Elephas maximus indicus: one gene and its partners. The protein of the gene in region 3 purifies or fractionates together with the protein of the main gene of each other region. This does not show direct contact. Links are inferred from orthologs where the notes say so. Each region holds a gene or a part of one and is shown on either strand. Other genes may lie near its edges.

What was found.
Region 1: the proteins of CBX3 (region 3) and CHD4 purify together in Homo sapiens (affinity purification with mass spectrometry; 6 studies listed by BioGRID and IntAct, with this or other methods). This does not show direct contact. The link is inferred for Elephas maximus indicus from reciprocal best matches to the Homo sapiens genes CBX3 and CHD4.
Region 2: the proteins of CBX3 (region 3) and histone H3.3A purify together in Homo sapiens (affinity purification with mass spectrometry; 3 studies listed by BioGRID). This does not show direct contact. The link is inferred for Elephas maximus indicus from reciprocal best matches to the Homo sapiens genes CBX3 and H3-3A.
Region 4: the proteins of CBX3 (region 3) and WDR5 purify together in Homo sapiens (affinity purification with mass spectrometry; 3 studies listed by BioGRID and IntAct, with this or other methods). This does not show direct contact. The link is inferred for Elephas maximus indicus from reciprocal best matches to the Homo sapiens genes CBX3 and WDR5.

The regions. Positions count from the first base shown.
Region 1 is NC_064822.1:63,380,733-63,388,554, reverse strand, and holds the start of CHD4 (chromodomain-helicase-DNA-binding protein 4), read left to right. Parts: upstream 1-4,805; 5' UTR 4,806-4,948; intron 4,949-5,837; 5' UTR 5,838-5,915; coding exon 5,916-6,015; intron 6,016-7,822. UniProt on the Homo sapiens protein: ATP-dependent chromatin-remodeling factor that binds and distorts nucleosomal DNA. Acts as a component of the histone deacetylase NuRD complex which participates in the remodeling of chromatin.
Region 2 is NC_064837.1:66,035,663-66,042,298, reverse strand, and holds histone H3.3A, read left to right. Parts: upstream 1-4,306; 5' UTR 4,307-4,428; intron 4,429-4,924; 5' UTR 4,925-4,931; coding exon 4,932-5,059; intron 5,060-5,179; coding exon 5,180-5,333; intron 5,334-5,425; coding exon 5,426-5,554; 3' UTR 5,555-6,129; downstream 6,130-6,636. UniProt on the Homo sapiens protein: Variant histone H3 which replaces conventional H3 in a wide range of nucleosomes in active genes. Constitutes the predominant form of histone H3 in non-dividing cells and is incorporated into chromatin independently of DNA synthesis.
Region 3 is NC_064826.1:87,352,098-87,359,361, forward strand, and holds the start of CBX3 (chromobox protein homolog 3), read left to right. Parts: upstream 1-4,246; 5' UTR 4,247-4,373; intron 4,374-5,563; 5' UTR 5,564-5,591; coding exon 5,592-5,615; intron 5,616-7,264. Other genes in the region: HNRNPA2B1 (heterogeneous nuclear ribonucleoproteins A2/B1), read right to left, coding at 14-49, 3,099-3,104.
Region 4 is NC_064827.1:4,452,780-4,460,616, forward strand, and holds the start of WDR5 (WD repeat-containing protein 5), read right to left. Parts: upstream 3,018-7,837; 5' UTR 2,906-3,017; intron 1-2,905.

The DNA of each region.
Region 1 (7,822 bases), on a different chromosome or scaffold from region 3:
GGGGAGGGGGGGGGGATGGGGAAAGAAAGGAAGGAAGAGGGAGGGAAGGAGCTGGGGAGGGTGGGGTGAGCCCTGGAGCCAGACCTGAGGCCTGACAGGAGTAACTGGCTGGAGAGGTTTCTTCTGTGACAGCTGTTCGAAGGGCCCTCTGAGGCAGGCTCAAGCTAGCTGAATCTGAACCCTGGACAACTGGGTACACTCACAGCTTTAGGGCAGCAAGACTGCTGATTCCTGAGCCTGCAGTGCTGGGCTGGAAGTGAGGACTCCTGGGTTCTGGCTATGAGGCATACCACGAAAAGGAGGCAGGTTCCTGGATGACCACAATACCCAAGTACTCCTCTTCTTTGCCTTCCTGGGTTTGAGCCTTGGGACCATGGCTCACATAGGAGGGTTGCACATGGGAAACTTTATTTTTGTGTGCAGTCAGACCCAAGGAACAGAGACATGGGTTGGCTCCTGAAGGACTAATGCCTCACCTGCCACCCTTCAAGTCCACACAACCTGCATTCTGTCTTGCCGTCAGAGTGCACTGTCACTGTGGCTTCTTTTCCCCTACGCTGTTTTTCCAAACTGCCTTTCCTGATGGAGCAGCAGAGTACCTTAGACCTGAGCAGAGTTTCTTGGTTTCACACAGACTAGAGGTGTAGGGAGAGGAAATAGAGAGCGTACGCTGAAAACTTAACGGACAACTCACTCTGAGTGTTATTCTAGGTTCTTCTGTACCACGGGGTGGAAACAGAACTCTAAGGTAACCGACTAGAGAGGCTGTCCCCCTGGGTGCATTAATCAGGAGATTATCCCACAGTGGTCTCTGTGGGCCAATCACACTAGTGGTTTATTTATAATTTATCTAGACAGGTAGCATGGGACCTGGGTAGGGAGGGAGGGGCATAAAGACCACAAGAGCAACACATAAGTACACATGTTGTAGCCCTTGTTGGAACTCAAGAAGAGAGGAAAGAATTTAAACTTTCTCCTAGTGGTATCAGAAAGATGTGAAAAGATAGGGAAGAAAGGGAATAAGTGGGTAGAAGCTGCAGGATTAGGGAAAGAGGGATTGTGGTGGGCAAAGGGCACCAGTATTTTTAATCACGGACAATAGGCTGTGCGTACTCAGTTGTAAAAGTTGCTTACTGATTTATATTACGAATCACTGTGGTAATGTGGTATATATGTATGAGAGGAAAAAAGCGTGGGGCAGATGGAGATATTACAGAAAGGAATTTGAGGCCCAGAGACAGGCTGAATCCCCTAGGGAAATGTGGATAAGGAGGGCATAATAGGTATTTGGCCACTCTGTGTACGAAGGAGAAAACTTGAAGGGAGGTGTGCTCACATTATGGCATCTTAAAAGAGCTGCCCCTCTCCCCTCTGGGAGCAATGCAAAGTTCATTCTCAGTACTTGGAATAAGCACAGGGGAGGGTTTGGACAAATGAATGGGGCTTAATCCTGAAGTAAAGAAAATGTAATGAGGAAAACTACAGACAGCCTAGCAGAGTGGGGAAAATGGCCATCACGCCACATGAGTGTGGCAAAAAGGTGGTCCAGAGAATTGGAGCAAATATTGGAAAAAGAATATATGAAATGCAAAGGTAGCCGTGAGAGTCCTTGGCAAGACCTGAGGTCTTTGATGTTGAAAACTTCAGTCCTAAAATGAGAAAAGAGTTAAACATAGAATGCTAGTGATTATACCATTAGGCAGCAGCTGGTGGAAAGACTTAGCATCACTGGTGCTCTGCCTGGGATTGTAAATTCCTGGAGAAACAAGCTCTCTCTGCACCTGAATTCATTTCTCCTTGCCACTTCTCCCAGTCCTTTAGTTCCCAGAGGAGGGGAGAACCATCTGGTCGGGCCCTTTCTCTAGGGAAATGACCTTAGGACAATGAAGATATGGAGTGAGGTAAGGAAGGGCCCCTCTTAGGAGGGAGTTCCTGTTTCTCTTCACCCTGCCCCACCTCCATATGTCTTGCCCTGTGTGAAAAAGGCAGATGGAAGCAGAAGTAGACATCATCTCTGGCTTGAGGAAGAGAGACAGTGAAGCAGTGATGCTGGAATATTGTTCTCACTCAGGTCCTGCTTCTCCGGGGGCCAGGAAGAGGGAAAAGTGACAGGCTTGTGGGCTCAGATTCTCTGAGGACCAAAGGGCTTTAAGATTGGGATCTCCTGGCTTTCTTAGGACTGGGTCCCCAGGGTGGCTGGAAGGTAGGCATGGTTAGGGAAAAAGGATAATATATATTGGGAGCCTGGTGGCACAGTGGTTAAGAGCTTGGCTGCTAACCAAAAGGTCAGCAGTTTGAATCCACCAGTTGCTCCTTGGAAACCCCATGGGACACTTCTACTCTGTCCTATAGGGTCGCTATGAGTTAGACTCCCGGCGGTGGCAATGTTTTTTTTTTTTACCTTGTGGCATAATTGAATTAGGAAGGCATCCTGTTAGTTAGTCCTGTCAGTAGGTATGTAGAAATTGTATGTGGGAAGGGGCAAATAGTGAACATCATGCAACTATGGTGTTTTTTTGGTGGAGAATGGGGCCTCAATAAGATGGAGATTTGGGCAATTGTGTTATGAGACTTCGAGATATAAAATGAGCAAGGAGTTAAAAAATGACATTGAGGGTAAGCAGGAATTTTAATGTTGAAGAATGAGGATAATGATTCTGGCCTGTTGATGAGCCTCTCAAGAAGGAAGCACATGATAAAATTATAGGATTTCATTATTAGGAATGCTGAGTGAATGAACATTGCCTTCCTATCAAAGTCCCTTAGTACGTAGGGGTTAGATAATCTTGACCATCCGTCTATACTGTAAACCCTTTTAGAATATCTAGGTATTTTAAAATACCTCTAGAAGGACCACCAAAAACCTCTACTAGGATATGATCTGTCCTGAAACCAGTTGGGCTTTGCTTTATTCTCTGTAACAGGAAATTAGGAAATAGCATTCAGTTGTTCTCCCTTGGCACCAGACATTTCTATTTTCTATCACAGTTTGTTTAGTTGCATATGCTTCTTTAAGGGAGGCACCATGGTCTTTGCATTCCCCATGTTGCCTAGCTCTGTGCCTTGCTAGGTACTCTGTCAACATCTGCTGAATGAATGTGAGTAGTAGTGAATAGTAAGTAGAGGGAGATCAGGTCCTGGCTCTTTGTGTATATATATACTGAAGGGCTCTCAGTTCACATCAGAATGGGATGCCCATCTATGGGAGTGGCCCAGGGGTGTTGAAGAATGGTCCCTGAGCTGGAGGCTAGGCGATGGGGGAGAGGACTGCTGGAATGGTGAGAAGTAGTCTTTGGATGGAAATTTGTGATTATTATGGGATGCTCTGGGGTGAATTAAACTTCATATAAATTGTTCATCTGGCCGGCATGGTATTTGGTTGGTCTTACTCAAAACTATGAGTTGGAATGTACTAGACTGCAATGGGTTCGGGTTACTCAAAACTTAATGGCAGGAGATGAACATCTGGAGAACTCCTGGATTTAGTGTGATTGGGTGGGGCCCTAGGTTAGCTCTCAACTCCTGAGTGTCTGGAAATTATGGGATGATGGAAGCTACGGTCTTACAGGTTAAGAGGCTTTATGCCAGGGTACTTGCTTTGGCCCAGAAAGGGTTGAAGCTGTGTATGAGTGGGGGCGGGGACAAGGCAGTGTGGGTGGCCCAGAAAGGGTTGAAGCTGTGTATGAGTGGGGGCGGGGACAAGGCAGTGTGGGTAGCCTGCCTGCCCTGCCTGCTCTGGGTGTTAATAGATTAGGCTTACAGCATTTGGAGATGGGGAGGTATATGAATATCATGGGATGCCTGGCTGGAACAGTACTATATAAGGGTGGTGGGGTGGAGATGAAGCGATATGGGATGTGACCCTGGGTTGTGCTGAGAGTATTATGATGTCCGGTTGACCATGGCTCCCTTGCAATTATTAAGGGATGTCAGGGTGTGGGTGGGGAAGTAAAATTATTATGGGATATATTTCCAGGGTTAAGGGAAAGGGTGATTAGGTGTCCATCTGTGGGGTAGCAGTAGGACTGCTGGTCTATTATAGGCTATCTTTTTGATAGGGAAGGGGTGGTCCTTATGGGCTGAGGAGCTAGAATGAAAATGTGAAGCCTGGGGGTGGTGTGTGCATCTAGACCCTAGCCTGCAGGGACCGAGGGCAGCTCCAGGGGGTTAGTTATTACAGGATGTCAGTATGGAAAGTGGGAGACTGATTATTACGGGGTGTGTGTGGGAGGAGGCCAAGTGTCCGTTGTTGCAGTGGGGGGATGAGTTTCTGACTATTATGGGATATCAAACTGGGGGTGGATGAAGAGTGGTTATTATGGGATGTCTGGGGGGATGGGATGAGTATTATGGGATGTGAGGCTGGTGTGCTGTGTGGGGTGCTTATTATGGGATGGCCATGGGAAGGGAGGGGTGATGAATTATTATGGGATGTGAGCATTAGGGCGAAGAGTGAAGAAGTTGGCAGAAGGATGGCTATTATGGGATGCTGCAAAGGGTTAGTGGCAAAGGTCTGCAATATTATGGGATGTCAGCAGTTCTGACATATACGTGTATGGAGTGTGTGTAGGGGTGTGTGTGTGTGTGGGGGGGTGTCCGTGTGTATTATGGGATGGCCAGGAGGTGGGCGGTTGCCCGGGTGACACGCGCGCGCGCTCGAAGGGGCGTGGCCAATGGTTGCCTGAGCGACGAGGGGGCGGGGGTTGCCCGGGAGACCTAGGGAGGAGGCTGGAGGTAGTGGAAGGGGGGGTTGGAGTTGGTTGAGGTTATTATGGGCTGTCCGCGGGGGGGCGGGGCCTGTGCGGTGGGATTTCCCGGCCGGTGTTTCGGGCCCTTTAAGAGGCGACGCTGGAGCCGGAGCCATTTTCCCCCCTTCGGCCGCGGCGAGGAGGAGCCGGAGCGGGAGTGACACCGGGCCAGCCTCTGCGCGACCTGCGAAGGCTCCGGGGTGAGGAGAGCGCGGGGTTCCCTGAGAGACGCCCCTCACAGCTCGACAAGCCCGGAGGGTCGTTCCTTCACCCACTCCTTCCTCAGGCGTCCCCAGACCCGCGAACTGCCCTCTGTCCGGAGGAGCCAATCCTTCTTCTCCCTTCCCTGCAGGGTGCCCAGCACCCTCCCTTCTCTACCCTAACCAGGCCTGAGTCTTGCTCCCCGCGCCCCCTACCCCGGGCTTAGTCTCCCACAATGCCCGGCGCCCGCCCCCTCGCCCTTTGCTCTCTTGCCCCCCGGGACACGTGGCCCTGCCCCCTTCCCGATGGGGGCTCCCTTGCACCTAGTCCCTGCCCCTGGACCCCCGGAGCGCCCGAACCTCCACGCCCCCTCGTTCTCGCGGCTCTTGAGGAGAACCTGAGTTGTCCCAGAGGACAGTCTTTGGAGAGCTGCCCTGTCTGGGGACTGGCCCCTCCCCGGGCGCAGGGAGGCGCCCCCCCACCCCCAAGTGACCTTGTGTCCCCGAGCGCCTCACCGCCCGCCTCCTCTCCTGCCCTTACCACCGCCCCCCCCCCCCGCGCCGCGGCCACTCGGACGCCCCCCACCGCCCACCCCGTCACACCCTGCTCAGTCCAGCCGGCTTCTGTCCTCCCCACGGCTGCACCAGCCTGCCCTCAGGGGTGTCGCTCCTTCTCATCTAGGGGCTCCTGTTGGGGAGCTGGCTTCCGGGCTGCCCCCGAAGAGTGTGGAACTAAGTTCAGCCCGAGTGGTTCGGGTGCCCTGCTAGGGTGGCTGGGTGGGGGGGGGGGGGGCCGGTGGTAGTGGTGGGCGGAAAGAGCGGGTGGGTGTGGGGGAGGGGGACTGCGCGTCACTGACTGTTCTCTTTCTCTCCCCCCTCCCCCGCACAGTGACTCGGGCCAGTGTAGAGGGCCCCAGGCCGCAGGCAGGAGCAGCTGGGCCAATTCCCTGGCCAAGAGCGGAAGGGGATGGCGTCGGGCCTGGGCTCCCCGTCCCCTTGCTCAGCGGGCAGTGAGGAGGAGGATATGGATGCACTTTTGAACAACAGCCTGCCCCCACCCCACCCAGGTAACATCTTCCCCCAGGACCCAGGGCAGGAAGGAGGCATTTGGGTCCTCCCTAGTGATTCTGGTAAGGCAGGGTTGAGTTTCTTGTCTCTCTCTGCAGTCTCAGGTGGAGGGCATCCGAAGGGAGTGGTTCTCTTTTGCAGAGCTCTTGTGTGAGGCGGGTGGAAGCCATGTGCCTCTGGGCACCTGGACTGAGATGCCTGCTTGCCGCACTGTTCTGGAGGAATGCTCCTCAGTTCCCAGATGAGGGAGCGCTCTTGACTGGCAGGCATTACCATATGTGGGTCCTTGGAGGAGTGCGGGTAGCTGGGACTCCTGGAGGCTATTGGGATGGGGTGTCGAGGGATTCTGTTTGAGGACCCCGGCTAGGCATCTGTGTTAGTAGAATACTGTAGTTGCTACTGCGGAAAGGAAGGAAAGAGCTTTTTACGCTATCTGATTATTTTTAGCTTCTGATCAGTTACCGGTTTTCTATGTTTCAACTGTGTGAAGTTTGAATTGCGCTCCTCAGCCGGGATCTAGAGTGCTTTTAGCCAGGCAGATTGCTGGAATGTTTTGAGTGGAGATATAGGGGCTAGAGGAGCATGTAATAGCCTCAAGGTTGTACTAGGAGAGGCTGAAGAAGGGAGGTGACATGCTGGGCACTCCTCCTCCCCTGGTGAGTGGACATAATCTTGGCTTTTTCCACAGAAGCTCTGAGGCAGAACTCTGTGCCTGTCGCCTGGGGTTTGAGATAGTGGTATGTAGTATTTGTGAAGGTGTTAAGGGTTGTGCTATCAGTGTTTTAAGGTGCTTCCTTGGACTGGCCAAACTCGTGTGGTTATAACCACCATGCCTGATTGGAGTAGCCCTTGTCTATCATCAAATGATGATTGATGTCATGCTCCTAAGCAGATGTCTCTCTCATCTGTCTTTTCTTGTTCAGAGCTCCTAGTTAAGTCACCTATTTGTTGTCTTGATCTTTTTTTTCTAGCTTTGTTTTTTCTACGTGCCATTTTTTAAATCTTTCCTGCTTATATTTTTCTCCTTATTCTGGAGCAAACTGGTCTTGCTTTTGTTTCCCATCAAATGTCTTTCACTTCTGCCTTCCCTCTTTTAGCTCCAGCCGGAAGTTGAGGTGGTCTGGGAGAGATGCTGCCACATTTGGCATTTTCTAAGTTGGAAGCCTTCTCTTTAACCTGAGGCCACTTAGGAGAGGAGTCAGTCTTGGTGTCCTCTTCTCATGTTACTGAGTCTTCAGCTGTTGGGATAGAAAACTTAGGCTTGAGTCTCATCACTGTGTAGGGTAGGGTGGCAGATTTCTGCGCTATTGCCCAAGGAGGGTTGTGAGTTGGTGATGGTGGTAGATGATCTTGTCCTTTCTGTGAGGGGCATGAGAGTTAGTGCTGTTGAGCTATTGTTGGTTCCACATTTTGGCCTCCCAGTGGCCCCTTGGTGTGGGGCTGACCCGTGTTGACTGGGAGATGTGCAGACTCCCTGGGTGAACTCTGCCCCAAGCTGTAGCATGACCCAGTTTTTCCACTTGCCACACCCAATTCCTGCCCCTTTCCCAAATCTGCCTCTATATCTTAGCCAGTTTGCTATTTGCCACGTCAGCTCATTATCTGCCTGAAAAGTTTGGGGGTCGTATGTACATGGAAAGGTGTCTCCTTTGCTTTTATGGATTTGCCCTGTCTTCACTTCCTGCGTTTACGCAGGTGGCAAAGGGAAAGAATGGAACTGTGGCTGACTGGAGGGGTGACATGGGGATTGCTGGGGAGAAGCCTTTAAGAAAGTGATTCTTCCTGGTAAGATCCAGGCCGGTGTTC
Region 2 (6,636 bases), on a different chromosome or scaffold from region 3:
ATAAGTCCCCAGAGGCACCCCACTCTGCCAGGAAGCCCCCTGCCAGAAGGCACTCAGCTCTCTTGGTCCATGGGTTGGCATGCCCACCGCAGCAGCCTTGTTCTGTGGACCAGGAACCCTACTGTGCCTTCTCTTGCCAGTCTCCCAGTTCTGCTGCTGCCATTTCTCTGATGATGCTTTTTGCCATCTTGTGCTATCTCCAGCGTTACAGCTTTCTCTCTCCTGGGTCTAGGAGGTTCACAGCACAGGGACCCTGGGTCCACAGGATACGCTCTGCTTCTGGCTCTTCTTTGTTGATGATAGTGAAGTCCCCCTTCTGCTCTGGGTTTGGGTGTTTTTTCAGCCAGCAGGATGGCAAAACTGACCAGTCCCCTCATTAGTGTTCCATACAGCTTATTTGCATGGTCCCACCCCTCCAAAGGGGTTCCATGCACCTTATTTGCATTCTTAGCAGGCTGTCCAATCCCCTTGGTGGGCCACAAATACCTTATTTGCATAGTCCCACCCAATCATTATGTGGGATTTACAAGACCATGCATGGTTAGAAGGGCCACATGAAGTAATTTACTGCACAGCATATGTTATCCCCAAAATACCTGAGTGTGATTTGACTGAGGAAAAATAGTTCACAACATTAGATTTTAAATTATATATGTGTATATATACACACATATATATCATGAGTTTAGAGCTTTGGCTGCTAGCTTACAGGCTGGCAGTTAGAACCCCACGAGCCAATCTGTAGGAGAAAGATGTGGCAGTCTGCTTCTATAAAGATTTACAGACTTGGAAACCCTATGGGGCAGTTCTACTCTGTTCTATAGAGTCCCTATGAGTCAGAATTGACTTGATGAGAACGGCGTGTGACCATGAACTTCAGAATAAGTGTGTACTGGTAGAATTGGGAGACGATATCATCCAAATACTTAATTTATAAATAAGAAAAAAAACCCAGAGAGGTTAAGAAACTTGCTTGAAGTTACTCAGCAAGTCAGTGACAACAGGAACTAGGACAGAAATCTACACCCCTGCATCACACAATATTGTTTTGATTATATAGACATTTCCAGTTCTTCCCCATTTACTATGTTGTTTTTCCTCCTCTGTGCCAACTTAGGAAATGCAACAATAACAAACCTGCCTCGATGACTACCAAGTAAGAGGGACAAACTATTTCTTTAAATGGCTGCTTGGCATCGTATTGTAGATTCACACCTTGCTTCTCCGAGAGCAGCTTTAGTTTCCTTCTAGTAATTACCAACACTGGGAGAAAGGTAACTGGACTGTCCCTGCCATTGGAGGCATAGAAATTACAAGGTTCTGGGCCTCCAAAAAAAACCGTGGAATGTTAATTTAGGGGCCCATTCTTTCTCCTGGTCCTTGAGCAGTCACAGAAGGATGACGGTGTATGGCTGGCTACATCCCAGAGCATTTGACAGCCTCCTTCCTATTTGAGATGCAAACAACTCCCTTGTCTTAGCTTTACACAGGCTCTGAGAACCTCCATCTTGGCTTCCCTTCTTGATATGGCTGTGAATGAAGTAGAAAGTTTTTCTTGTTCTCTACCCCACATTTTGAGCAGAAAGCAGAAATTAAAGTTGATTACATTGTCACATGAAAGTTTTGGTATGTGAAAATGAGAGAAATTAGGTACCAGAGATTGGACCAAAGGCATTTTTGCCCAGGGCTTCCAACTGATTCATTCAGGTTCCAACCCCCGACGAGAATTTGCATTTCTAACAAGTTCCCAGGAGGTTATACATACGAATCACCTGCGGACCTTGTTAAGCTGTAGATTTTGATTCAGTACATCTGGGGGTGGAAATGCAAATTCTCTGCAGAAAACTTGTCAGAAATGCAAATTCTCAGCAGGGGTTCAAATTGGAAGGAAAGTTTCAAAGCCCTGTTTCTGCCATAGCTGCTTTTTCAAGTTGTAAATTTCTTTCACTATTGCCACTGGGACCTTTGATGTGCTAAATAAATATTGAAGTATTTGTACTAAAGGTACTAATACGCAGTCATTCTCTAAACTGACATCTCTATGCACCTGGTTTTGCTACTTTTTATTTGAATAACGTAAAAGAATCTGTGAACCCTGAAAAGGATCTATGGAGTAGAATGCCCAAGGCTCTATTTCAATTTTCTGGGCTTTGCTTGACTGTTCTTAACCTTAAATCTACTTTGGTATTTTATATACCTGAGTTATCTGGAGAACTGAGTATTGCAATCCATTCAAGACATGTATTTAGGTGAAGATAGGGATTAGCATTTTTAGACATTTGTCATCTTTCTTCAGAAGTAATACCTGCTAAGACATACCATAAAAACAAGGGCACATACTTAATTTACCTATCTCTCATTTACTCCTTATATGCATGTCAATGCTGTAGTAGGACTATTCCCTTTTTTGCCCAGTAATTTCATTCAGTCAAATTATGTAATTAGAGAAATACAGTATGTTGCTTAGCAGGTTACTCCTTGTTTAACTCCAAGGGTACTAAGATCACAAGGTATTTTGCAACATAATCTAAAAACATATAAAACTATTTGTAAACTCAATTACAAATCAGGAATGGTGTGCATCAGAGTTGTATCCTTTCACCATATTTATTCAATCTGTCACCATATTTATTTAATCTGTATGCTGAGCAAATAATCCAAGAAGCTGGGCTATAGAAGAAGAATGCAGCAACAGGGTTGGAAGAAGACTTATCAACAACTTGCAACATGCAGATGACGCAACCTCACTTGCTGAAAGCGAACAGGACTTGATGCACTTACTGATAAAGATCAAAGACTACAGTCTCAGTATGGGTTACACCTCCACAGAAAGAAAAAGTATTCTCCCAACTGTACTAAGAAGCAACATTGCGATAAACAGAGATAATACTGAAGTAGTGATTTTACCTGTATCCACAATTACCACCCATGGATTTTATTTTATTTGTAGCCACAATTACCACCCATGGAAGGAGCAGTCAAGAAATCAAAGGACATATTGCATTGGGCACATCTGTTGCAAAAGACCCCGTTGAAGTGTTAGAAGCAAAGATGTCGCTTTGAGGATTAAGGTATGGCTGACCTAAACCATGGTATTTTTAGTTGCCTTATATGCATGTGAAAGCTGGGCAATGAATAAGGAAGACTGAAGAAGGATTGATACCTTTGAATTATGATGTTGGCCAAGGATGTTGAATATACCATGGATTGCCAGAAGAAGGGACAAATCTGTCTTGGAAGAAATACAGCCAGAATGCTCCTCAGAAAGGAGGATGGCAAGACGTTGTATTACCTACGTTGGACATGGTATTACCTACTTTGGACATGTTATCTTGAGGGACCAGTCCCTGGAGAAGGACATCATGCTTAGTAGACAGTCATTGAAAAAGAGGAAGGATCTCAACCTCCAAGAGACGAATCGATACAGTGGCTGCAACAACGGGCTAAAACGTAGCAATGATTGTGAGGATGGGGCAGGATCAGGCAGTGTTCTGTTCTGTTGTACATAGCTTTGTTATGAGTCAAAACTGACTCGACAGCAACAGGTTTGGTTTTGGTTTTTTTAACAGGAAAAATCTCAATTATTGACATTCGTTTCTTTCCATGTATTATTTACCCCTCTTACCCCACCAATAAAATTACCCCACCAATAAAATAACTGCTTTTTGGTTAAAATGCATCTGTTGTTGTTGTCGTTACGTGCCACATACGTGATACGTAAAATACTTCATAACGTAATATGATTTACTGAATTCTAATTATCATTTATACTTTGAATTTAACTATAAAAATGTTATGAAAGTAAATAATCAGGGAACACATTTTATTTTACATTGGAAAATATTTACAAAAAATTTTTTTAAAATACCTTCTCATCCTCCTACATCGCATTAGCTTAATGCCAGTAAGCTTAGACTCGGCCCTAACAGGCTCTAAGTCCTGCTTGGGACCAATGCAATTCATTTGCATTGACTTTCTATTGTAGAGCTTTGGAACCAAGGGAAGGATCCAAACATAGCTCCATTTTATCCAATCAGAGGAGCCTCTTAGTGCTAAACTCTGATTCGTCCTTTTCTGTTTGCATCTACCCAATCATCAGGCCACTTTAACAGCCAATCAGCGATCCAGATATCTACCAATCAGGGAACAGGGCCGAAGCACGGCCTTTGTGTCGGGGGATGTCAGCGCGCCGGCGAAAGCGCCCGCCAATAGAAAAAGTCGTTGGTGTATGCAAATGAGGGGCCTATGACGCAGAGACGCAGCGTGAAGCGTGGGTATAAAAGCGGAGGCGTCGGGGGGGCTGGGAGCGCAGAGCGGTTTGGTCGTTTGGTAGGGGGTTGTCGTCTTTCTGCTTAGCGACTGCGGCTCTCGTTTGGGCAGCAGGAGCGGCGCGGCAGTCCGAGAAGCGGCCCAAGACTTCGGCGTTTGGTAGGCGTTCGCGGGGAGTGCCATGACTGGGTGCCCCGCCAGCCGTTGATGGCGCGGGTCGCGGCCGTTGGGAACCGAGTGACGGGCGGAGGGGGCTGCTTGCCCGCTGGCGTCGGGCGTGGACCGGCCGGTTTGTTCTCGGGGCTCCGGGTCGTCCCGCTTCTCCGCTCCTGGCCTAGTGGTGATTCCGAGGTTCCGGCGCCTGGTTCCGGACGCTCGGGCTCCGCCTGGCGAGGAGGGGAAGTGACTCCTCCCTGCGCCCCCCTCCCGGGGGAGCCTGCTGCTCCGCGCAGCCTGAGTCATTAGGGGAGGGGGGGCTCCCCGGCCATCTGCCGCCGCGAGGTGGGGGGCGAGGGCGCGGGCGGGGCCGGCGGAGGTCGGCACTCGCTCCGGCAGGGGCCCGGGTCGGGCTCGGTCCCCCTGCGCCCCCGGCGGCGAGCGAGAGGGGGGCCGGGCTGGAGGGGCGCGCGGCCTCACCGTGGGGGTGCTGTTCTAGGTGAAAAATGGCCCGGACCAAGCAGACTGCCCGCAAGTCTACCGGGGGGAAAGCCCCCCGCAAACAGCTGGCCACCAAGGCAGCCAGGAAGAGCGCTCCCTCTACCGGCGGGGTGAAGAAACCTCACCGTTACAGGTAGGCAGAGCGGGGAGGAAACAATGGCCTGGCGGCCGCTGGGCTTTGTTCGCCAACTGTCCGGGGCTCCGCCGGGGCTGCCCATCGGCGTCCGTTCACGCGCCCCTCCGCTCCCTCCAGGCCCGGAACCGTGGCGCTCCGGGAGATCCGCCGTTACCAGAAATCGACCGAGCTTCTGATCCGGAAGCTGCCTTTCCAGCGGTTGGTGAGGGAGATCGCCCAGGATTTCAAAACGGACTTGAGGTTTCAGAGCGCAGCCATCGGCGCCCTGCAGGTAAGGCAGAAAGGCGGTTTTCCTTCAGGGGAAGGGCTGTGTGTGCTTGGTTCTCTCCGCGGGGTTTAACTGTGTGGTTTTGTCCTCAACAGGAGGCTAGTGAAGCGTACCTGGTGGGGTTATTCGAAGACACTAATCTGTGTGCCATCCACGCCAAGAGAGTCACCATCATGCCCAAAGACATCCAGTTGGCTCGCCGGATACGGGGGGAGAGAGCTTAAGTGAAGGGCAGTTTTTATGGTGTTTTGTAGTAAATTCTGTAAAATACTTTGGTTTAATTTGTGACTTTTTTTGTAAGAAATTGTTTATAATATGTTGCATTTGTACTTAAGTCATTCCATCTTTCACTCAGGATGAATGCGAAAAGTGACTGTTGACAGACCTCAGTGATGTGGGCACTGTTGCTCAGGAGTGACAAGTTGCTGATCTGCAGAAGGGATGGGTGATATTTCCTGCTTCTCATGATGCATGTTGCTGTATGTTACTGACTTGTTGGGTAGCTATTAAGGTACTAGAATTGATAAATGTGTACAGGGTCCTTTTGCAATAAAACTGGTTATGACTTGATCCAGGTGTTTAACAATTGGGGCTGTTAAGTCTGACCATACATCACTGTGATAGAATGTGGGCTTTTTCAAGGGTGAAGATACAAGTCTTAACCACAGTGTAACTTACAGTTTCCTAAGAAAAAAGAAAAAAAGTAAACTTGGCAGCTATAGAATACACTATGTGCATTTATAATAGCTATTTTATATATTGTAGTGTCAACATTTTTAAATTAAATGTTTTACATTCACATGTGGTGGGAAGTCTTGTCATTGAGATGTGTGTAATTTAGAGTCGAGTTGGTTTGCCTTTAACTAGACTACACTTGTTTTCACAGTAAGATGCTGTGCTGCGTTGTACCTTGCATAAGTCCTCATTCTACCACGTTAACTAATCCTCTAGTTGATAATGCAGACACTGATGGGGGATTTTATTTATAAGGGCTCTAGAGTATATAATACCAGTTACTCACACCAGCATCACCTGTTACTAATTTCCAGAACTAGTTAGTGCAGCTTTTCGTTGTGTTGTGGTCTCATAACTAGGTTGAGTTTTTCTCCACTGAGAGGAGTCAATTCTGAAATGTTTTTCCTTGTGGAGTTTGTGTTTTAACTTAGTGTAAACTTGCTGTGGGGGAGGGGGATGTAGGTCCAGCTTATTGAGTCCTCTGCCAATTAAGGTGGTGTTGGCTTAGGTTACATCTGGTATACTATCCTGGGAAAAAATCACTTTTAATAGAGGTGGCCTTCCAAGTGGT
Region 3 (7,264 bases):
GCTGGCAGAGTACCTTTTTCCTCTCCAAAGGAACAGTTTCTAAAGTTTTCTGGGGGGAAAAAAAAAACTTACATCAAATTTAAACCATATGTTAAACTGCATATTAGTTGTGTTACACCAAAAAAACTGTCTCAGCTGAACTACACAAGCTTCAAAGTCATTAATGCCTGATCTAAATTTACTTGACATAAATTTATTTTAAACAAACGTAATTATCATTTATTTAAAAGCTTTCTGGGGAGAAAAAAGTAAATATTCTGCGGTTCTTGAATGGTTATTAAAAGACTACCAAACTTTTACACAATCCTATGTCCAAGACATAAAACTTTGCTTTTAAGTAATAAGTAAACACTTTCAAAAAAATTCAAAAATAACTCTGGCTCTTTACAACCCGTGGTTGACTACGTATTTCAGAATTCAGTATCTGAAAAGTGCCATAATTAAATTATTTTCCCTTAACTGCCCCCTCTGGTGGTAGTTTTAATGAATCTCATCCAAGAAAACTCCAAAAAAAATACGGATTTCCCCCATATGCCCCCTGCGGGGCATTAAAGGTTTAAGATAGGTACAAAAATAAGCTCTCTTGAGCAAGGCAGGTTGATTTTATAACCAAAGTCTTCTACAACTTAAAAAAAAAAAATCGAATGCAGTTTTTTTTGGGGGGGGGAGGCTCTTGTATTTTGTATTTAAATGACAGTACAGAAACAATCTGGACCACTCTGCTAACCACAAAAAAATGTATTCACCTTATATATTAATATTTTTATTTAGCATAAGCATCTCACATTAAAAAACCCAACAAGAACGCTTAAATGCACTTAGAAATAATTCTGATGATTGCACAAGTTGAAAGTAACGTCTGAACTATACAATTAAAATGTTTAATAACTAATGTTTCGTTATATACATTCTACCACAATAAACAAAAATGTTTAAACCACCACCATAATTACTTGGTTTTTACTTATTACCACATTTACCAATAACACATTTGACTGGCTTATTTAAAAAAAAAAGCTCGGGCATACGGATTTTAATGTTCATCTGGCAAACTAGGGCATAAAACAATGTCTTAAATTTTACAAGTTGAAAAGAAAAAAATCTGAGCTGAAATTTTTAACACCTGCAAACATGCTACATTAAGAGCCCCTTTATCTGGGGTAATCATGGTCGTTAAACCTGCCTTACAGGTAGGTAACTTGTTAATTTTGAAAAAATATTCATAAACCAGGAAAATAGATTATATATCCAGGACAAACTACTGTGAAAGTGTAACAGACTAAAAGGTCAAATATATTTTCAAATACAGGAAGTGTTTTATTCCCAACAAGTATTACTGCTTTCAACCAATTCGATGGAAGTTCCTTAACGCAGACGATATTCTCCCGACTGCTCAAGAGAATACAGTAGAAGCCAATTCAGTCAGGGACTCCCCCTCCCCCAATATGGTTAAGTGTTTTCTGGGTTCTGAAAATGAAAAATAGAATTAACTTAAATTACCAAACTAAGCCCTTGAGCTACTGAAACAACAACACGCTGTCAGAACGGGTAACTATTTTGGATTCTCAAACTAATTTTTTTTATTCTATACCTTGTCACTAAAAACATCTCTTTAAACCCAAATCAATCACGGACATTTAATGCAAAAGCACATCCACAATCCTTAAAAACCAGTAACAAACGGCAAAAACGCATTACTTACCTCGGTCTGTTCCAAACTTACCCGATGTCCACTATCGATTATAAACAAGGTTATTTTATAAACGTGCTTTAGGGTCAAAGAAAATAATCAGGTAGACCCCCTTCGCTTGAGACCTTACGCTTAATCAATGCAATGACCAACCATGATTGCAAACAGAAATAAGAACAGCAAATAACAAAGTTCAAACACATAGCGACCTAGGCCCGAGACAGTTTTGGGCATAGCACTACAACGCATTACAATTTCGAGCCAGGATACAACTAATAAGTCATTTTTATTTCACTTTGCTCTGAACTTTTGGCTTGTCGTTCATGAAGATCCGCATGTTCACCCAGCAAACATCGAATTTTCACATAATTGCTATTCTGAATATGAATAAATCCTACAACTTATATATTAGTCCTTAGAATAATAAAAGATTCTGGAAAGAATATTCTCCCCCACATAATAATCTTCCCCACTGCCACCTCGTTCGTAATCGATACTAATCTAATGGCTCTAAATTTTGATATTTCCAAGTTTTCTGCGGTTAAACGGTCTTTTTTTAATCACTGCAAACCCAGAAAAATCCGTTATTAAAAGAAACACAAGCTGGAAAACATGAAACGGTTTCTTGGTAATATGGCTTGCCTAAAGGCCAGGCCCAAGGCCCAAGGCCCTCGGCTGTTACACCTTCCCTCTCTCGCGCGGTACCAACTGGCCCAGCCGAGCCTCCTCCCCACCCCCCACTCTTCTCTGTGGCTTCTGAACGCAATGGCGCCATTTCATCGAGGGGAAGGAAGAGCGCCTTTAACGAGGTGCGCAGGACTTAAAAGATCCGAGCTCACAAAACACACGAAATTCACCTCGAAACGACGTGGAAACAGCCCGAGAAGAGAGAGAAACAGTTAACTACTTCTATTCGGCAACAAAGTGATCACAGTAGTAGAATTTAAAGAGCAAAAACAAAAACGCTGCGAGGAAGGAGAGAAATGAAAATGGCGGCCGCCAAATCCGGTTCCCGGGAGAGAGGGGGAGGGGAAGCTCCGCAAACTCACGAGGGCCCCAAGCCCTCCGAAACGCTAGGACGCTGAGGCCCCTAAGTTGGCGTTTTTAAAAAGGGAATAGGAACTCCCGCCTCTGCACCCCACTTTCACTAAAGTGGGACTGCGTCCGCCATGTGAAAGTTCCCCATCCCCCAAACCAGTAAAAGGAAATGGCGCCGGGAGGCCGAGGGCGGTGGTGTACAAGCAGGCCTCCGCTAAGATCCCCCACATAAATGTCACAAGATCAACCGCCCCGGGAGCGGTCCGACTTCACTGCCGCTCTCCCACGGAGGCGGGTGGTCAACTTCCATTGAGGCGCCAACGGCCTCACCATGCCCTCTCCAGTAACTCATTGATTTCAAACCCGTTACCTCCATCGCGGACTCAGTCGCTTCAGCCCGATTTCCCGCAGCCGAGCGAGATGAGAGAGATCTCCGCGGACGAACACGAACCGGACTCGTCCTGGCGCTGTTGTGAGAGCTGCCGCTGCTCGAGAAACAACACCGCTAGGAGGACCTCCGCACGGGACCCGGCGCTGCTGCTACTGCCGCTAGAGCCGCTGCCGCCGCTTTTCTAGAACCTTCCCTCCGACTAACGCGTCCTCCCTTACGTCAGCTCGTTGCGTAAACGCCCTAACCGCCGCCAATGGCGGGAACGCTCTGCTCCCGCCTTACGCCAAACACGTACCCCTCCCCCTGCTTGCGGCTAGCGGTGGTGCTTGACGTTACTAGCGTAAATGGGACTCAGTGAATTGCGGAAGGCTCGAGTCTTGCGTATCTCCCTCGGAGTCGGGTCCAGCCCCCGCCTTAGCGCAGGGCAGGTGAGAAACGGTCGCGCAGTTTGAAATTAGCGCTGTCGGGAGCAGCTCAGTCAGCTGCCCGAAGAAGTAAAACCTGCCGCTGCACCTTTGATAATGCCCGTGGGTTCTCCCACCATAAAAAATACTGGTAGCCTTCCTCCCTTCGTTTTCCTCTTCAACTCCCTCCCCCCCTGTGCAGGACTGACTCGGCCCCTTCCGGAAACACCCGAAGCGATTTCTAGTCAACAAATTACTGGCCAACGTCCTTGGGGCCGGCCCCTAGAATTTGGTACTTTTTTTTTTGTTTTTTGTTTTTTAGGAAGGTCCTCCGGGAGGTACACTTCTCTTAGCTTCCAATTGTCCTTTCACCCCCAAGTTTTTCTCCACCTCCCTCCAAAGGAGGCAACCACTCCCAGGGGCGAGGAAGTGGGCGGAGTCCGGTTTTGGCGCCAGCCGCCGCGCTGCGGAGCAGAAAAGCCTCCGCGGAAAAGACTCCGACCACCGTCCCCGCCCCTCCTCCTCCCTCCCCTCTGGGGATCACCAGGCGCCAAGCCGCGAACGGTAGGTGCCGCAGTCACCGCCCCCTTCCCTGCCTCCCTTCCAACCTCCCACGGTCCAGGGCTCCCGACGGGCGCGGCCCCTCCCCGGCCGGGCGCGCGCGCCCTCCCGCCCCGCCCCTCGCCGCCCAGCGTGGGCGGTGCGTTTCTCCCCTCCCCCTCCCCGGCCCAGGCGGAGGCCCAGCGCGCAGCTCCCCAGCCCCCTCCTCTTCGGATGTGGCTTGAGCTGTAGGCGCGCAGGGCCGGAGACGCCGCAGACCCGGGACGTGGAGCAGCTCGGAGGCGGTGAAGTCGGTGTCTTTCTTTCTCTCTAGCTTTCACTGGGTGGTGGTGCTTCAGATGCTACATGCGCCCCAGGGACCCCCCCCTCCCAGTTCCCAGCTCCTGGATCCCGCCCTTCCCCGCCGGACCCAGAGTCGGGATCTGGCGGGAAGGTGTGGAGGGCAGGTGGAGGCCCGAGGCGAGCCGCGCTCAGGGCCGGCGTCTGTAGTTTGCTGAGGGTAGAGAGGTGTGGCGACAGCCGCTTTTTTTCTAGACAAAGCGCCTTTCTTCCCCTCCTCCCTCATCCACGTTCAAGAAGAGGGACCCTCCCCCGCCCGCATCTCCGGCCTGGGCGGCGAGTTGGGCCTCCCGGGAGGGCGGCGCATTTTCCCGCATCCGCGGGGCCTGGCACTGCACGCGGCCCGCTGTCCAGAGACGGCGGCGGACGCTCCGTTACGTGGCCGCCGCCCAGGTGCGGGGCCGGTGGCGCAGTGCCCTTGAACCCCGGCGCCGCGGCCTTTGTTTCTCCCCGCGGATGCGCTGACCACGAGGCCGCGCTCTCGGTGGGGGGCGGGCGCTTAGGCCTTTGCACACCCCAATCCATTTCGGAGGGTCCTGGGGCCAAGGGGAGATCGGGTGAATATGCAAGAGGTGATTTGTTTTTAAAAGTGTCATGAAATGGGAATGAGGCTTCACGGTGTGTTTTCCCTTTAGTTTTTTTTAACGAGTAATTGGGAAGAGGGGTGGTTTCTGAGAAGAAGTCAAGTTAGGGTTGTATAGGAAACTCTTTGGACTGTTAAGAGGTCTAGAGGAAAAATTCAGTATAGCTTACCGGTGTGGTTGGTTGGCTAATTTTCTCTCACTTTGAACAAAAAGGTTTGCCTTTGAATAAAAAAAAAAAACAGAGCTAAACATAGAATTTGGTGTAACTGGGATTTAGAGTGGAAAAAATATTTCTCCTGTTTTTTGCACCATGTAAAGCTCAGTCTCAGGTGCAGATGTCCCTCCCTTCCCCCACTTGGATAAAAGTGATATATTACTTTAAGGCATATATCATTAATAATTCACGCAGGAGCTTAAATCCGCTTCTCTATGGATTTCTATCCATGTTTGATATGTGCGCTACCGACGTGGGGGTTGGAATCCAAGCAAAACTTGTGTTTAGCTACCTTTTTTTGTGTCATGCAAACTTCCTTTTAACTGTCATGCATTTTTCTAGTAATAGCTCTTCAAGTCTGCAATAAAAAATGGCCTCCAATAAAACTACATTGGTAAGTTAATGAAAACCTAAATACATAAGGATCTAACTCAAGCTTTTTTCCCAAAAATTATAACTTTGCATCTCTGTGGTTGGAGAAATTTACATTCATATATTCCCCACACACCCCAGGCCCCCAGTATTATTATGGGGAGAATTAGGGGCAGAAAATTACATAGAGATTCTTACTGACTTGCCTTAATACTTCTAATTCAATTAAATAAACCTAATCTCTTGTCTAGTTCTCAAGAGTTTAGAAGGACAGTACAGTATGAATTTTGCCCAGTACTTTTTTCTTGCGATAATAAAATACAGAAAATTATGGAACATGGAAAAATATGTTAAAAGGATAGGCCGTTGAAACAGTAAAGCCACTGTTGATTGGTATAATAAACCACTGTACCTGAATTCTGGAGAAACCAAGTATTTTCAGTAATATTCAGTTTAAAGAACCAGATATCTCGTGCACCTAGTTTGGGGCAAATGTTGTTCAGTTTTTCAGATTACTCTGGTCACTTTGTCATATTTCAATTTTGTTTAAAACGCATGAGGACCTTTACATTATTGCGGTGGTTGTTTTTTAATATACAAAAAGAACCAAATCACTATGTGTGTGAGAGAGAGAATACTAAATCTGCTGGATCTTTTGAGCAGTTAAATTTTTTCTCTCCAGCCACAGCATCTTAAACCCAAAGTTGACGTATTTTAGGTTTGATTAAAAGTTTAACAAATGTGTAAAGGCATGTAGAGTCAGCCATATCAAACTATAAATCAAAAAAAAAACTGGAATGTTCACATAAAAATCACGAAATTCAAAGTTATGGTTCCCACAGTATTTAATTCTAACACATTGCATTAATAGTAATCATAAGCATGTAAAGGTGAGTGTTAACATCTAAGTAAAGGGAAACATTTGGTTTTGATCTGCATTCATTCCTTGGTTTCTACACTAAAAAGGGCAAATTGGTTATTTTGAATTTGTGCCATTGTTAGATTGCACATTTAAGTCAAAATACACTAGGACAGATTGAAATATAAGGCCTATCTGGTGAGTCCCTGGCATGAATGATTTCCATATATAGTTCAAAATCATTAGTGGAGAAAGCATCTTCTGTGTCCCCTCAGGATTGGAGCTGGCCTTCAAATTCCATTATCAGTCAACCAAAATGTAGGTACTAGAATTGGGTTACAGTCAACTTTATCCTTCATCAAATAAGTATTGGGTAGGAAAGGAATTAGCTGTCCATGAGGCAGAAAGTTCTGAGGATGAATATACATACAGAAAACACACACTTGCTCCCATTAAAATTAAATTGCTTTTGCACAGTTTGGTAGTCTTGGTGTTTGTAATTTATTTGTGTATAAATATTTTTTTGTAAATGATCACAAATTGAGCAATTGTAATGTGTGTGTGTTTGGTTTTTTTTTTTTTTAATATGTGAGAGATGTGAGCTATTTTTGAAATGGGAAACTGAGTTTTATATAGTAGGAAGTGCATTTTGCCTCCAAAATCCACTTTGTGCTGGAAAAATAAATCTGGCTTAAACCAAATAAATACTTCTATTTTAAAAGAAGGGCATTTGAAACTAGCTTATGTATCCCAAGATAATAAATATAATATAGCCCCCCCCCCCTTTTTTTTTAAGTGTGGGTCCTTTTCTT
Region 4 (7,837 bases), on a different chromosome or scaffold from region 3:
TTGATACGTTAAGAAAAAGACCCAAAGGTTTCCTGACAGAAAACTAACGTGCCAAAGGACAGGGGACTCAGCGTCAGGGTGCGGAAGGTGACAACTCATCCAGATCCTAAAACGCACCCCGAGTGGGGACGCAGGCGTGAGCACACCCAGGGCTCCCGCACCTCAGGGTGGGCTCAAGGGCTCACCGCACAGGCTGCTTCCAGATCGCCAACAGGTGAGGAAACTCAGCACACAGCTGAAGCGTGACCCAGGGCCTGCCCTGCAAGCTGCAAGGAGCCTAAGCTGGGCACTGACCCCGCAGCCAGACTCACTGCAGAGGAGGGAAGAGACTGCAGCTCAGCCAGGGTCCGCTCGACAGTGGGAAACACCCCAAACCTGTGCAGTAAGCCATCAGTCTCCTGTCACAGCAGCACATTCCATTACTGGATAAAACCAAAATCAAACCTGTTGCAGACGAGTCGAGTCCAACTCACAGCAACCCCAGAGGACAGAGCCGAACTGCCCCGTAGCGTTTCCAAGGCTGTAACCTTTAAGGAAGCAAGCTGCCACGTCTTTACCCTAGGGGGTGGCTGGTGGGTTTGAACCACTTAACTTTCGGTTAGCAGCCAAGCCCTTAACCACTGCACCACCAGAGCTCCTCCGTTACTGGATACCTCTCATGAAACCACACCAGGTTATCCAGAAATGAGGGAAACCGCTGTTAAAAAGGAGAGCCACTAAGCCTTTCCTGCAAATGTCACTGGCCATTCAACCCCCTAAGCTGGCACTACCATTCACCTGGTGTGTTCACACACTGTACCTTCTAGCTTGAAGCTTCAGGCGAAATGGAACCCATCAAAAAGGACAAAGTCCCAAAGTCTTCATCCAAGGGGAGAAAGTTTACCCAGGAACACCCACTGGGCAAAGCCAACGGGCACGAAGCTCTCTTCTGCTGGGAAGCCTGCTGCAGATGCATCCAAGGACGCCCAGATCACAGCACAGGGCTGAGAAGTGGCTGGTGCCCCTGCCCCAGGTGGGACACCAGTGGCAAAGGCTCCACAAAAGGGCAGCTCAAGGGCCAGAAGTGTTCTTTTAGCATAAACAGCCTGGCCTAGAGGCAGGGCGTGACTACGGCCAATTGGCTGCCCAAGAGGAACAAAAGGCTGAAGTAGGTGGTCTTACCCCCCACCCAGCACAAGCCCAGCCTTCCAACATTAACATGCAAAAAAACCCTTGTGCAAAAGTAGGTGGTCTTACCCCCCACCCAGCGCAAGCCCAGCCTTCAAACATTAACATGCAAAAAAAACCCTATGCAGAGAAGGACCTTTAAGAATATGGATTTCTTGACTCAGCACCCCAAGACTCTGCTTTGCTGGGTGGGGTCTACGCCCGCAGCTGCATTCTTCACAGACACTTAGACAGGTCTGTGGTCACATTTGGAGAAAGGATTATTTTGAGGGAACAGGGAGCTGGTTAGGGGCCAAACCAATAAAAAGGCAGGGTACAAGAAGGTGAATACACACCCGGAGGGCAACCTGGACGTTGCCTCCAGAGCTCCCGCCCCTCTAGGCACCCACAGGCCTTTGATCCCAGTGAGCCTGACACCTAAGGCAGAGCCTCCCAAACTTGAGCGCTTTCCTAGACTCTGGTAAAACACAGGTTCCTGGGCTCCATCCAGACGTGGGAACTCAGAGGCCACCTATTTCTCTGTGCACACGCCCAGGTGAGCTCAGGCAGCCCGTCCTGCAGCAGTCGTGGCAGGAACAGCTCTCTGCTACCTCAGCTCTTGGACATACTTCTGCTCCCCACTTACCTGTCTGCCTTCCTTAGGGGCCAAGCTCAGAGGCAAGGTCTAGTGCAGTACCGCCCGATTCAAAGCTTTAAAACGTTTGTTGACGAGAATTGGAGCCCTGGTGGCGCAGTGGTTAAGAGCTCAGACTGCTAACCACAAGGCGAGCAGCTCGAATCCACCAGCCACTCCTTGGAAACCCTATGGGGCAGTTCTACCATGTCCTATAGGGTCGTTATGAGTTGGCATCAACTGGACAGCAACATTTCTTTAAGAGAATTGGTGAAAAGACCTGGGTGGGTAAAGGCTTGCACAGCAAAGGTGGTTAAGGGGTATCTTTTAAAATATCCCCAAATGGCTTTCAAAGACCAGACCAGGCGTGGTCTGAGGTTCCACCACAGGAGGGCCGGTGGCTTCTCCCTTCCTGAGGGTGGACTCACACCACAGTGACCCCAACCCGGGGCTCTAGGCTCTTAGGCGAGACGGGGTCTGGCAGCTCAGGAGTAACCAGCAGGGGCAGGGTGGGTGGAAAACAGGGGTCATGTCTACAGAAGAGGGGAGCTCAACCCTGTCTGCATTCAGCCAGTGTCTGCGTGGACCACATGTGGGACAGACCGGCCTGGGGTCTCTCTGAAGAAATGCAGGGGAAGGGGGCGATGTGCACGCTGGCTGGGGGTTGGGAGGGGCGTCCCAACCCCTGGGGCTTTGGTCTTGTCATGTGACCGCTGCGGAGAGAGAAGTTCCGGGGAGACTGGGACATGGGCCGGGGAGGGGCACCTGCAATCAATGGGGGTGTGGGGGGTACCCCTGGGATGGGGGGCAGGACACCCAGGGCGGGGCCGCCAGATGGGGCAACGGGGACGGGCGGGGAGCCTGAGCCGGGAGGAGGGCGAAGGGGGCACCGGCTGGGGGCTGGGGGCTGGGGAGGCGCGGAAGGTGGCCCTCACGGAGGGCGTCTGCACGAGGAGGGCCCGGGCCCGCCGGCGGCGGTTTGGGGTCCGCGGGAAGGAGCTGCCACGGGGGCCGAGGCCCGGGGCGCCGGCCTGGCGGGGAACACGTGCGGCGGCCGGAGACGGTTTGGGGGCGAAGCCGGGTCGCGCCCACCCACCCCGCTGCGGCCCGCGGGCCGGCGCTTACCTCTGGGCCGCAGCGGCGGGGCCGGGAGCCGGGCGTCGCGTCGGCCGCCACCTGGGCGGCAGCGCGGGCCAAGCTCGACGAGGCGGCAGGTCCGGCGGGCGCCAAGCGGCGTGGGGGGGGCCCCTGCCAGTGCGCGTGCGCGAGGAGAGGGGGCGGTGCCCCGGAGGCGGGGCCAACGCACAAAGCTGGCCTCTCTGAGGAGCGCTACGGAGAGCGGCAAGGGGCAGAAGGCCTCGGCCAGCCGAACGCCTTAAAGGGGCCGGGCGCTGCGCTCGCTTCCTGATCCAAAGCGTTCAACTCCAGAAGTTGGCTGGTGCGGGCCCGCCTCTCCCGCACTTTTTAAAGATTTTTTTTAGTGTAATATACATACAGGGATGTACTATTGTATCCCTTGAATTTTGTGAGCAGCCCTGCAGCCGACACCCACATCCTGGGACAGGGCGTTCCCCGGGGATTCTGAGGAGGGGAAGTTGCCCAACGTTTCTCCTCGGAATCGGTGGCCCGGTTGGGGCATCAATTCTTCATTAACGCTCACACCACTGGTCGCAGCAGTTGGCTGTGACAGCATCTGCAGCTAGCCCGCGCAACGCCTCAGTGAACCCTCACACATCAGGCGGACAGGTGCGCACGCCTTCCGCTTACAAGACCTGGGGCTCAGTCCCCGGACTCCGCCCGAGGGGCTGAGAGTCCTTCCAGCGCCAGCTCTTCCCCAAGCTCACCACACCTTCTTCCCTCCCAGCGTTGTGTGATGAATACAATGCTCGTAATTACTGCATGCAAACTGGTTTCACAGCCCCTCCCTGGTGGGGCCCCCAGGCAGGTGTTCACCTCCATCACAGACGGGCAGGTGAGGCTCAGAGAGGAGTGAGGGGCAGGAGGAGAACCTGGGGTCCAGTGTTCTGCTCCATCCACGAGCAGCCGCAGCCCACTGCCCCACTTCTGCAAACCACATGGGCCTTAGACTCTTGGAGGTGGCCCTGGCTCCTGCAGCTCCACCGCCCCTGCCCAGGTCTGTGGGTAGAGTGGCAGACAAACTCTTATTTTCCAATTAATAGGACAAGGTACCTGAGCAAACAAAGGGACCATGCATTAGAAGTGGAACCAACCGCCCACGGAAGGTGAGATGTGTGGCTGTCATGGATAACGACAGCTGAAGAGTGGCAGCCAATCTGGAGCCCTCTCCCAGAGAGGACACAGGGTGGCAAGGCCATAGTTCACGTGGATCTGTGTGTCCAGCAGGCCCGGTCACCCTTGGTCCAGGTGCCTTGGAGCCAAATGCCGGGATGCTCCAATGTTAACAAAACCAGCTAAGAGGTGAAGATGGGCATCTCCAGCCACCTGGTGGCCTAAGATGGGCATCTCCAGCCACCTGGTGGCCTGGACGGACACCTGAGCCCACCCTGGATTCCCCCCCATACCTCTCAGTCCTCAGGTCCACCCACTCCTCTCCATGCCAGCCTCATCATCTCAGAGTGACCACTATGCTACCCTTCCCAAACCTCTACACAGCACGCCATAGGAAAACTCCAGCTCTGGTCTGTCTCTCCCCAGTCTAAGGTTTAGAAATAGCTTCCCAGGGCCCTCAGATCAAAAGCCAAACTCTGTTGACGGTTTACCAGACCCTCCCTCTCCCTCCAGCCTAGTGCCACCCCCAAACTGTGCACCCCAGGTTCCAGCCCCAGATAGAAATTACTTCCAGTCCCCAGCCCTCCTGGCAGAGTGGGATGAGGGTCCTGACCCCAGAAGTCACAGAACTCAAATCTGTTAACTCAGTTTCCCAACTTCCACTCCCAGGTAAATGGGCCTGGCCCCGCCCTCCCCCAGGAGGTAGAACCTTCTGGTGAAAAAGAAAATCCTCCCTGCAGAGCTGAAATCCGGAAACCGGATAGCCAGCAGGAAAAGCCGCTTAACAAAAACAAGTAATTTGCTTTATTATCTGTTTTAAACCCCTTTATATCCTTCCCAAAAATTTGTCACGCTCAGAAAAATCAGTAGTGGAAGCCGAAGAGAGTGTGAACTAAAGAAAAGGGGAAACCATGCTCGAGTGGTTTTTTCCAGAATACTAACTGCTTGGGCCACCGGGGTGAATTGGTGAAGGAAACTGTTTCCAAGAACAAATTTTTACAGCCAACATTTCTAGAAAGCTGCTCCTTACCCCCATGCAAGGGGTGGTGTGAGCCAGCCTGGGCACCTCCCTCTCCAGGTCCCTCCACCAGGCTCCCCTTCTCCTCATGACACCCCCTCCAGCCAACGTCCCCTGGGGCCTCCTCCCCTGATCCCCAAACCTGGTGAGTGACCCTGGCTGTGTTTGCATCGCTCCCAGTTCCTCCCCAGTAGAAACCCTCATCTCTTCATAGAAATCCTGGTCTAAAGTCTCCTGGTGCCATCTGAGCTGGTGGGAGTGGGAGGAAGACAGGAAGGAGGAGGGGGAGGAGCAGTGGGAGAAAGGGGGAAGGGAGGGGGAGGGAGGGGAGAAGGGGGAGGGAGGGGGAGGAGCAGTTGGAGAAAGGGGGAGGGAGGGGGAGGAGCAGTGGGAGAACAGGAGGGGGGAGGAGCAGTGGGAGAAAGGGGGGAGGGAGGGGACGAGCAGTGGGAGAAAGGGGGAGGAGAGGAGCAGTGGGAGAAAGGGAGGGAGGGGAGGAGCAGTGGGAGAAGAGGAGGGAGGGGAGGAGCAGTGGGAGAAAGGGGGAGGGAGGGGAGGAGCAGTGGGAGAAGGGGGAGGGAGGGGGAGGAGCAGTGGGAGAAAGGGGAGGGAAGGGGGGCAGTGGGATAACAGGGAGAGAGGGGGAGGAGCAGTGGGAAAGGGGGAGGGAGGAGAGGAGCAGTGGGAGAAGAGGAGGGAGGGGAGGAGGAGGGAGAAGGAGGGGGAAAGGGAGGGGAGGAGGGATGACTTGACATGCACTGAGAACTTGGGTGCTCCTTCCTCTATTAAGTTTGTTACACTTGTTACCTCCTTGTACCCTCTCAACAGCCCTGTGAAGTGGGTGCCTACATTATCCCCTTTTCACAATGAGGAAACTGAGGCTCAGAGAGGCTGGGAAACCACCCAGGGACCCCCAGTCAGTAGCAGATACTCAAGCTCAGGACTGGCTGTAGGCACAGCCTGCGCCCTGACCCCTAGACTTGTAAACAGTGCACGATCAATGACGCTTATTTGGTGAATGAGTGAAACGCCCATGTTGTAGGCCTTCAAAGAAGACAGCAACCCCATGAACTCCAGCGCTTAGAGGAGGTCTATAGAGGCCGCAGATCTAAAATATAATAACATTACGTTCTCACACGGCTTCAAGCTTCCGAAAAACCATGTTTTATCGTCTAGTGAGAAACATTTTATCAGGAAAAGTGGCCTTCAGGACGTTGGCTGAGGAGGGGGCTGGTTGCATTGGGGTGGAACACTGCAATGCTCACACCAGGGCTGCAGGCAGCAGTGAAGCTCCAGCCCCTTAACGGCTGAGCCCAGAGCTTTGGGGGCAGCAGATTCCCACAGCAGTTGATGAGAGGATCCTAGAACCTGAGGGACACGAGGATGCTCAGGAGCCAGGGTTTCCAGGAGCTGCTCCCAGGATCCCACAGCCTGACTTTATCCCGAACCCCGCAGGCTCCTGCCAGCCCAGGTCAGAGGGTTCCTGTTAAGCCCTTTTCCCTCATAAAGATGCTAGGCAAATGGTTTAGGGGACTTATGCCACTATTCTCCTTGCTAGGGCTTCTTTCTTCCCACCCCAGTACCCTCCACCCCAGCCCTGGATCCATCAGGACAGCCAGCCTTCGGCCACAGCCTTGTCCTGAGCCAAGTGGGTACCTATCACCCCTGGTGTCCAGCATCCTCTCTTCCTCACCTGGCACCCGTTTCCCAGTTACAGAATAGGCTGGACCCATCTTGTTCTTGACATTGTGGGTTTCCCCCTTGTGCCAAGTTCTCTCCTTCCTTGGTTCACCCAGGCACGTGCCCCCCCCCCGTCTCCTTCCCTCAGGCTTCCTTTCCCTACATCACATCCCCTCCCATTGTAACCCCTGGGTGACTGACCGTCTAGTTTGCCCAGCACCATCCCAGTTCTAGCGCTGAAAGTCCCTGTCCCTGGCACCCCTCGGTCCCAGGTAAACCAGGGTGGGGGCCAACAGGCCGCTCTTACTCGTCCTTCTCCTGGGCTGTCCTGTCCTCAAGGAGCCCCAGGCCCTCCCCTGTGCCTCTGCACCTTCCCCATCCTGCCAGCGGGCTGGCCCTCGAAGGGTCCACTTACCCATGTATCCCCCCACCCGTGGACCGTGTCCACCACTAAACCAGGAGGGGCAAGAGGAGGCCCAGAGGGGAACAAGTCCCTGCTAGGAGCACCCAGCAATCAATGAATTCCACTGACCCCGACATCCAAAAACAACAATAATCTTTAAGTAGGCAGGTCACCAGGCCTTTCTTCCATGGTGTTGCTGGGTTGGGTGGGTTCAAACCACCAACCTTCAAGTTAGTAATGAGCGCAAGCCACTTGTACCATCCAGTGACAAGGACTTCAAATACAGTCTCCCTAAATCGCCAGAGATGGCTGTGCTCACTAAAGCCCCATAGAGTACGTGTGTCATCAAATCTTTGATTTCTCTTCTGTGGGCCTTTTACAAAGATAATTGATCGAGGTGAAATTCACATAACAAAAAGTTAGTCATTTTATTACTGGTCTGACAGAGACTAGAGAAACCCCAGAAGAATGGCCCCCAGACACCCTTTTAATTCAGTACTGAAGTCATTCCTGTGGTTCACCCTTCAGCCAAAGATTAGACAGGCCCCTAAAACAAATAATAATACAACGAGCTCAAGTATGCATACGAAACTCAATGGGCACAGCAGGCCAGGGACAAGGACGTGAAGGCAGGAAGGGACAGGAAAGCTGGAAACGGGGAAGCCAAGACTGAGAAGGGGAGAGTGTTGGCATGTCTTGGGGCTGG